2 linked regions of the Oryza sativa Japonica Group genome follow. The protein of the gene in region 1 interacts with the protein of each later gene in a pairwise test. Links are inferred from orthologs where the notes say so. Each region holds a gene or a part of one and is shown on either strand. Other genes may lie near its edges.

Region 1 (4,368 bases):
TCCCCATTAGCGATTTGCTGGTTGTATGTAGTACCACCACCATAAGGTTGCTTGTCATTGTATCCAGGTGCTTCATAATTCACTCTTGCACTAGTATATGGCTCATTACGATTCGCAAATCCATATGGTCCACCTGTTTGGGAAGGCTGCGCAGAATTGCTTCTGTACTGTGCATTGGCACTGCCATAGGGTTGCCTGTCATTATATCCAGATGCTCCATTATTCACCCTTGCACTACTGTACGGCTCATGACGATTTGGAAACTCCGGTTGCCCAGGATTGCGTCTGTAATTAGCATTGACACTTCCATCACCACTCACACCTCTAATTCTATCAGCTCCTACAGAGGAATCAGTTGAAGGGAGATTTGCCTGAACTTGGTGGCTGAGACTATCAGTTCGATGGGGCTCCCTGTAGTTCCCATCATTACGTGCTCCCCATTCGCGGTGATAGTCCCCATCGATCTGTTCTGATGCGAAATTGCCAGCGCCTCGATGTGGAACCAAAGGCCACAGACAACCTCTGTCAGCTGGAAGACTGCAGCACAGTAGTCAATGGAGAAAGTGAATTTACAGGAAAGAAACACACGATCATCAGGTTATCAACTTGGAAATCCAGAGAGTAAAACGAGTTTGTTCAGCTTTGTGGAGCTATGTATTCTGGACTTGTAAGTCGGGATTGATTATTGAACGAGTGGGAACATTTCAGCATAAAAAAGGAACAACAACTATCAAGTACCCTGTATCTGCGTTCGGCGCATGAGTGCCACAGCTTCCATTTCAAACCATGATTGGCCTCCATGAACAAGTAAGAAAAGGACAATTTCTTTCCTAAAAAAAAATCTCTCTCTAGAGAAAGGACTGCAAATCTGTGGCTTCGCTTCTAGCCTTCTAGCACAGAAGATCACAAGTTCTCTGAGAGAACTAAGACTAAACCAAACGAACGCTATTGAATACCCAAGATTGATGCAAGGAAACAGTGACTCGCCGTAGGGCTTAGTGGGGCGACGGTGCGGTACCTGGGCGGCGAATCCACGCGACGGACGGGCGAAGCGAGCGCGCCGCGAGGCGAGTAACGGGCAGCTAGGAGGGCCCTGCGTGCTCCAACCATGGCGGCCATCTCTCTCCTCCTCCTTCCTCCCTCCGACCTCGGCGCGCTCCTCCTCTCCTCCCCCTTCTCCGGCGGCTCCCTCCCCTAAAAACCTCGCGACGATGCGGCGGCCGTTCGTTCTCCAGTCCAGCCGCCAAGCAGAAGGAGCGACTGCCTCTCCTCGGCCGCGTTTTGCGTACGTGGCTGCACTTGAGTCGTCCGATGGGAATAGGCCCAAATAGGCAAAGGCCCAATGGGCCTTCTGGTTGTTGGCTTGACCGCTTTCCCCGTCTTCCGGGGCCCACAAGAGCACCGCGGCCACGGCTGCTGCCTCTCCGGCTCGCACATGGTTCGCCGCCTTTCGGTGAGATCCCCGCGGCTGCAGCGAGCTCGCAGGCCGCCGCCTTCCGCGCCGCCGACCACCGCGCCCATGGACCCCCCCTCGCCGCCGCCGCCGCCGCCATATCCTCCTGCTGCTGCTGAGGGCGGTCCGGCAGCGGATAGCCAGGCCGCTGAGCTGCCCCGGCTGACTGTGACGCAGGTGGAGCAGATGAAGGTGGAGGCGAAGGTGGGCGAAATCTACCGCGTCCTCTTCGGCAACGCGCCCAACGCCAATTCCCTCATGTAAGCGAACCCTTCGAGAGCGCTGTCGCTATCACTTTGCTTTAGTTACTCGCAGTGTTTGTGCATGTAGAGTGCTGTGGCGGATTGGGATGCGAGAGATGTGCTAGATGGGTGCGGGTATCATATCGTTGTTGCTAAATTTTAGCTTGACTTAGTTCCGTAATTAGTTCATCCTTATCAATTACACAGTGTAGATATAGCCTGGTTATGTTGTTCACAGTCACAGAAGCTTAATGTTACCAGTTAGGTTGAGAATTTAATGTTCCCCACCTCCTTATTACGAGATTTGGTTGTATGTTTACTGCTTCAGGTTAGAGCTGTGGCGTGAGCAGCATGTTGAGTATTTGACGAGAGGGCTGAAACATCTTGGACCAAGCTTCCATGTGCTCGATGCCAAGTAATGGTTCTCCGGTATTGAATTATATAGCAGAATATGGTTTTAAAATGAGATTATGCGAAGTTGATGTATATATTTGGTTTTAAAATTATGTTCTAGTCGACCTTGGCTGTGCTACTGGATTATTCATGCACTTGCTCTGTTGGATGAAATACCTGACGATGTTGAGGATGATATTGTGGACTTCTTATCTCGATGTCAGGTTTGTTAAACTGCTGGTATTATATAAAAAAATGTTACTCTTACTACATAAATATGCATTAGTTACCACTCTTCATGCGTCTGTAAAGAAACCAACTCAACAAGTCAATTTTTCAGTACTTTGTTCTTTCCTTTACTGAGGTGATAACAAAGTTCAATCGAAGAAATAGTTCCACTAGATTTCTAAGGTCTTGTGGAATTTTTAAAGTCTCAAGCTGGGTGTCTGAATGAATCTTCTGAACCCACATGTAACTTTTCATGCATATCAAGGATAGCACAACTATCTTTGTTCTGCTCCACTTAGTTAGTTCATGTTATCCCTTTCCTTTCTCATAAAGTGTTCGGTACAACATGAATTTGCTTATGGATACATAGCAAATAACTGAAGATATTGATTTGCACATACATGTGATTCTGAAGATTTCATTGCCATTATTATCATGATTCTTTCAGGACAAAGATGGTGGTTATGGCGGAGGACCTGGACAGGTTTTCTCTTAACCTCAAACTTTTGGGTTCCAAACTTGTGGCTGGGTAATATAGCTTTGAGTTGGTTAACATTTCACATTAGTTGTCGTTATCTTAGGCAATACAAAACTTCAACAAACCATGTGAACACTGATCTTTTGCTTCAAATGACTAGATGGGCCAGTCTAGGCTACTCAACATCTACCCTAACTAAATTGACCATCTCAAACAAGTTCGATGTGATGAAATATCTGAAGATCAATTTATCTTTGGGTATTTGATGGCCTAAAGTGTTTATATAACTACAGGTTCTCATTTTGATGGCAAAGTTAGTGCTTTGACTTGTGTTATCCAACTCGTGCAAACTTTAGAATAGTCAATCTTGACTGTTCTTTGATCTTCCTAATTTGAGTTCAGTTTTACGAACTCACTCGATAAGGTTAATTTAGTATGAGGCGAATTTTTTGATGTCAATTTCACTTCTTTGTGCTAGTTGCCTCATCTCGCTACAACTTATGCTGCTGTAAATACACTTGTAACTATAGGGAGTGAAAGGGCACTATCATCGGTAAACAGGTAATTCTTATGGCACTATGTTGACTAAATATGCTTCCATCTGTATCATATGGTTAACAATTTCTACGGTGTAAATCAGGGACAACCTGTACAAGTTCATGCTTCGGATGAAAGATACATCGGGAGCTTTCAGGTGTGCATTTTCTCAAGTAGTAAACAGTGGGGAGAAAATAGTTTCTTTCCATGTCGAGTTCCTTACACCTTATATCTGCCACTCATTTTATTATCCTTTGACCAGAATGCATGATGGTGGTGAAATAGATGTTCGTGCTAGCTATACTGCAATATCGGTGAGTTTCTTTGCTCCCTTAGTATTTTCTTTGCAATTCTTTGATTTTTTTTTCTTGTTTTGTTAGGTTGCCAGCCTTGTGAACATTCTTGATGGTGAACTAGCAAAAGGTGTTGGAAATTACATAACAAGGTTTGCTTTGGCTCTTGTCATTGTCAATTTTCCAGCTGTAAAATATAGAATGGCTGGTTAGTTCCTAAACTAAATGCCTCCAGGTGTCAAACCTATGAAGGTGGCATTGCTGGGGAACCGTATGCTGAAGCTCATGGTGGGTATGTTTCAACGGAGGATCTCTGTTTTTTTTTATTTTTCCTGTATGTATCTATTTGGATCTTTTAAGTAATAGTTGCTTTGGTTTGACAAGGTACACTTTTTGTGGGCTGGCTACGATGATCCTGCTTAACGAAGTGGACAAACTTGATTTGGCTAGCTTGATTGTAAGGAAACCTCTGTTGATTGATTCAGTTCTCTTTCTATTCCAACTTGTGTAGCGCTACTTCTAATTTCCATGGGTTTAGTGGTAGGCAATGTGAACTTTTAAGACCATGGTATTTGGATGTGGTCCTTCGGTTTCTAGTTGTACAATGCTGAGTAGATGTATTAGAAAACACCATATAGACACTAATAGTAGTTTGTGGCTGTCACAGCATTTACTTATTATAACACTGATAATTGCTTTGTGGATTATCTTCACAATTAAGGGCTGGGTGGCATTTCGCCAAGG
Region 2 (4,360 bases), on another chromosome or scaffold:
CATACATTTTTTCTTCAGGAAATTCTCGCCATGAGACATCATATATAGACAGCATACAGACAATCACTGCATTGTTATGACTTATGACTAGCATAATATGATAGCGATAAGCGCAGAATGAGTGTAGAGCTCCTCCCTGAGGTCACTCTGCATTGATATGCAGGAGATTAGTATGGGTAGACGAATTTCCTTATATCAGACTTTACAGCAGACCAAGAACTGAGTTTTTTTTTTTTTTGGCATTAGACTTAGGAATTGGCTTAGCTTCGCTGCAAGGCTCTTTTCCCCTTGTTTCTGGGACTGTCTTCATCTCATCCTTCTCGTTTATCCAGATAATATCAAATGCATTGTCCGAATTTGCCGTCTGCTCTGGAACAGAACCTGCTTCATAGCCTTAACATGTACTCCGCACTAAAACTTCTGTTCTTGGTTCTTGCAGTGCCTAAGGCCGCCATATGGGGTGATGTACCTTGCTGCAAGGAAGAATTACATCGGCTCGAGCAGCGCGGTGCGGCAGCTCCGATCCCTGGTGGATGAAGAAGGCGCATTTGGCGCGCACCTCGTCTCTGAGCCCCCAGAGAGGGAGATCTGGAAGTTCTTCTTCAAGTAGTAGTAAACTAGTAGTTCTTCGGTGTGGCGCTGCAAATTTCATCACAAGCTGCGATGATCACCAGTTCTGTACATAATATACTTTCAGAGTTCCAGCCATGTTTTTTGTGTCGTTTTTGGGCTTTTTTTCCCCCTCGGAAGTGTGGTATTATTATGATGAAAATTCATGACAACTCAAAACCAGTATTCGTTGTTCAGCTGCCAAATATTTTTGAGTTTGTTATGCTGAGTTATCACTTATCACCAGTATTGATTTGTTGAATTATTATCATTTTTAAGTTTGTTTGGTTGTGGGTTATAGGCTCTATTTCAAACGATTTATTTACCAGATTATTGCAATGGATTATCCTCTCGATTATGGGTTAAATATTTTTTAAAAAATTAACAAATATGTTATAAGTGGTGTAAGCAATCTAATAGATAAAAGTTCTTTGGAAAAAACATACTACTAGCAAACGTATATTTTGGGATGGAAGGAGTAATTTATATTTGAAGTAAATAATCTATGGAGTATTTAGGACCAAAACCTGAATCCTATGGAGTAATTAGGACCAAAACCTGAATCCTGCACTGTTTTTAAGTTCGTTTCTGAATTCTGCTGATTACTCTTTTTGTACTCTTTAGTTTGTTACTATCACCCTGTGACAATGTTATATGGAACCCATTGAGTCCATGACAAGTGGGTGCAGATATAGGCTGAAGTTACAGCCTTGACTGCAAGTCAAAGCAGCGCAGTCATCACCATCCAGCCGTTGAAGAAGCAACCAATGGCTGGATTAAGGTCATAGCGCTTCCAATCCTCCTCCTCCTTCCTCCGCTCGCCGTCTTCTCGACGACGACCCGCGGCCACCGCCGCGCCGCCCTCCTCGCCGCCGCCGCCGCCGCCGTCTCCGGTGAGGTTTCCCTCGCGTTCTTCTCCCCCCTCCCCCTCATCTCCTCCTCCTCCTCCGCCGCCGCCGCCACATCCGACTCCCCTTCGCCGGCGCTGTAGGGGGAAGAGAGACCTGATCCCTTCCACCGCCTACGTGGAGTTCCTCTACTATCCTAGGCCGGCGTGGAGTGATACGTGAGCCGTGAGCGTGGAGATCCATCCATCCCACTGCGGTTTAGGACTGCAGTTAGTGGAGGATTTGATTCGATTTTTGTGTTTTTTTTGTTTGATTTCTCTGGCTGCAGCAGAATCTGATCGATGGCGCCGTCGTCGACGTCGTCGGAGGGTGCCTCCGACGAGTGGTTGCCACCCAGCCGGCGGCCGGAGCTGGCGGACGTGGTCCCCGTGACGCAGGACGACGGGCCCCACCCCGTGGTGGCCATCGCCTACCGGGACGAGTTCCGCGAGGTCATGGACTACTTCCGCGCCCTCTACTTCGCCGGCGAGCGCAGCGTCCGCGCCCTCCACCTCACCGCCGAGGTCATCGACCTTAATCCCGGCAACTACACGGTGAGATTGCTCGTGTTATTCCCCCTTTTTTTTCATGTTGGAAATTGAATTTGCAGTGCAGGAGATTTGCTCATTTAGAACTATGGCCCTGTTTAGGTATATTAATCCATGATTTGCTACAGTGATGCTACAGTAATCAGCCGCTAATCGTGGATTAATATACATCATTAGATTCGTCTCGCAAAATAGCTTAGGGGTTATGGAATCGGTTTTATCGGTAATCTATGTTTAATACTTCTAAATAGCAAGATTCCGGAGGGCTATTTAATAGCTCGGAGCATCCAAACAAGGCCTATGTACATGTAGAACTAGCCTTCACTTGTTATAGTAAGAGTAGCATGTTGGGATATTGGCAAATTCCGGCTTAGCTAGTGGTATCTTGGCGGATTTATCTATTTCGGAATTTGATTATAAAAGTATAACTGTGATGGCAAGCTTGACTAGCATATATAATGTTGTTTTGGAGACACAACGCGGCAAGACAAATTTAGGAAAATTGATTAATTTTTTTTTCTTGTGGACGCATTGAGAATGTCTAGATTTATGGTAGAGCAGGAGAAAACAGTTAGTGTTTGATTTTAATCTGCATACTGTGGTGGTGTCTCTTTCAGACTTATCAAATTTTCAGTTTTTCCGCTGTACTTTTCATGATCAGAAAGATAAATATAATTAAAATATACTGTAGTACTGTACCAAATTATGTTTGGGGCTTTTAGTCCATATCCATAATAGGACTTTTACTTTGTTTGCTCCCTCCAAATTTGTACTCAGCCATCTGTTGTTGCCTCATTGGCATTTTGCATGCAGAATGTGCAAATTTCTCCCAGTTCTGAGTTTAACAAGCAACAAAACATGGTGGCATGTAAAATTGTCTTTCCTTGTTATGTGTTTAGCGTCATGCATTTCATTTGGATGCCAGTTTTGAACTTAATGATCTTTTTTTGCTTGATAGGTGTGGCATTTTAGGCGTCTTGTTCTAGAGGCACTGGATGCTGATCTGCGTGAGGAAATGGATTTTGTGGACCGAATTGCTGAATGTAACCCAAAAAATTATCAAATCTGGTGAGTGACATTAAGTTTATACCCATATTTGGTAGCTGTGGAGTTTTTCATGAAGTTTATACTTGCTATCATTAATTCTGAGCGTTCTGTAATTAAAACTTCATTCTTCTGCTTTTTTGTTGGGAAATCTTGATTAACGTCCCAGTACTATATATATTTTCTCAGGCATCACAAGAGATGGCTTGCGGAGAAATTAGGACCAGATATTGCAAATAAAGAGCACGAATTTACAAGGAAGATACTTTCTATGGATGCTAAAAATTACCATGCTTGGTCTCATAGGCAGGTATATAATGTTTCCTCTCGATGTGCGCTAAAATTAGGCTGTTGATACTCGTTTGAGTTCATTTATCTATATTTGAGTGCTGCACTGAGCAAACCTTTGAGGGAAAGCTGAGTTCTAATAATATAATTTATGTATCATTACTGCTGCAGTGGGTTCTTCAAGCACTGGGTGGATGGGAGACTGAACTACAGTATTGCAACCAGCTGCTTGAGGAAGACGTCTTCAATAATTCAGCTTGGAATCAGGTCAGTTGATATGCTTGTTTGGCTTTAAAATTTCTAGTTTATTATACAATTTCACTTTTAATTCGTCCCATCTTGAATAGTAGTCTGAAAATCCATATGCCGGTTCATGATTTATTAACTAAATTCATTGATTCTTTCTCTTCTTGCTTTACGTGGTATTTTGTCCTACTACTGTCTCCTTTCTGACTTTTTTTGGCTGATTAACTAAGATCAAATGATTACACTGAAGTATGTTATGTTTGTTTTGCAACAGAGATACCTTGTAATAACAAGTTCACCACTTCTTGGAGGCCTTGCAGCAATGCGTGACTCGGAAGTGGATTACACAGTTGGGGCTATTCTGGCTAACCCTCAGAATGAAAGCCCCTGGAGATACCTCAAAGGCCTGTACAAGGGTGAAAATAACTTGCTGATGGCTGATGAGCGCATCTCTGATGTTTGTCTCAAGGTCCTGAAACATGATTCGACCTGCGTATTTGCTTTGAGCTTGCTGCTCGATCTTCTTCAAATTGGTTTACAACCTTCAGATGAACTCAAAGGAACTATCGAAGCAATAAAGAACTCTGATCCTGAAGCAGATGAAGCAGTAGATGCTGATCTTGCGACTGCAATCTGCTCAATATTGCAGAGATGTGATCCCCTGCGGATAAATTACTGGTCCTGGTACAGGACCACTATTTCTTCTCAAACCTGAAGCATGCAGTGGCCTCCATGAGG

Evidence for each region.
Region 2: the proteins of protein farnesyltransferase subunit beta (region 1) and protein farnesyltransferase/geranylgeranyltransferase type-1 subunit alpha interact in binary tests that used the Arabidopsis thaliana proteins (3 or more experiments, as listed by UniProt). The link is inferred for Oryza sativa Japonica Group from reciprocal best matches to the Arabidopsis thaliana genes ERA1 and FTA.

The regions. Positions count from the first base shown.
Region 1 is NC_089035.1:31,375,927-31,380,294, reverse strand, and holds the start of protein farnesyltransferase subunit beta, read left to right. Parts: upstream 1-1,327; 5' UTR 1,328-1,342; coding exon 1,343-1,713; intron 1,714-1,811; exon of another isoform or gene 1,812-1,830; intron 1,831-2,023; coding exon 2,024-2,110; intron 2,111-2,209; coding exon 2,210-2,312; intron 2,313-2,764; coding exon 2,765-2,800; intron 2,801-3,272; coding exon 3,273-3,355; intron 3,356-3,434; coding exon 3,435-3,488; intron 3,489-3,593; coding exon 3,594-3,645; intron 3,646-3,711; coding exon 3,712-3,776; intron 3,777-3,859; coding exon 3,860-3,916; intron 3,917-4,008; coding exon 4,009-4,081; intron 4,082-4,345; coding exon 4,346-4,368. Other genes in the region: pentatricopeptide repeat-containing protein At4g32450, mitochondrial, read right to left, coding at 1-537, 1,019-1,119. UniProt on the Arabidopsis thaliana protein: Catalyzes the transfer of a farnesyl moiety from farnesyl diphosphate to a cysteine at the fourth position from the C-terminus of several proteins having the C-terminal sequence Cys-aliphatic-aliphatic-X (CaaX).
Region 2 is NC_089043.1:24,433,829-24,438,188, forward strand, and holds the start of protein farnesyltransferase/geranylgeranyltransferase type-1 subunit alpha, read left to right. Parts: upstream 1-1,393; 5' UTR 1,394-1,502; intron 1,503-1,785; exon of another isoform or gene 1,786-1,788; 5' UTR 1,789-1,798; coding exon 1,799-2,050; intron 2,051-3,002; coding exon 3,003-3,112; intron 3,113-3,277; coding exon 3,278-3,398; intron 3,399-3,547; coding exon 3,548-3,643; intron 3,644-3,896; coding exon 3,897-4,337; 3' UTR 4,338-4,360. Other genes in the region: uncharacterized protein, read left to right, coding at 440-610. UniProt on the Arabidopsis thaliana protein: Essential subunit of both the farnesyltransferase and the geranylgeranyltransferase complex.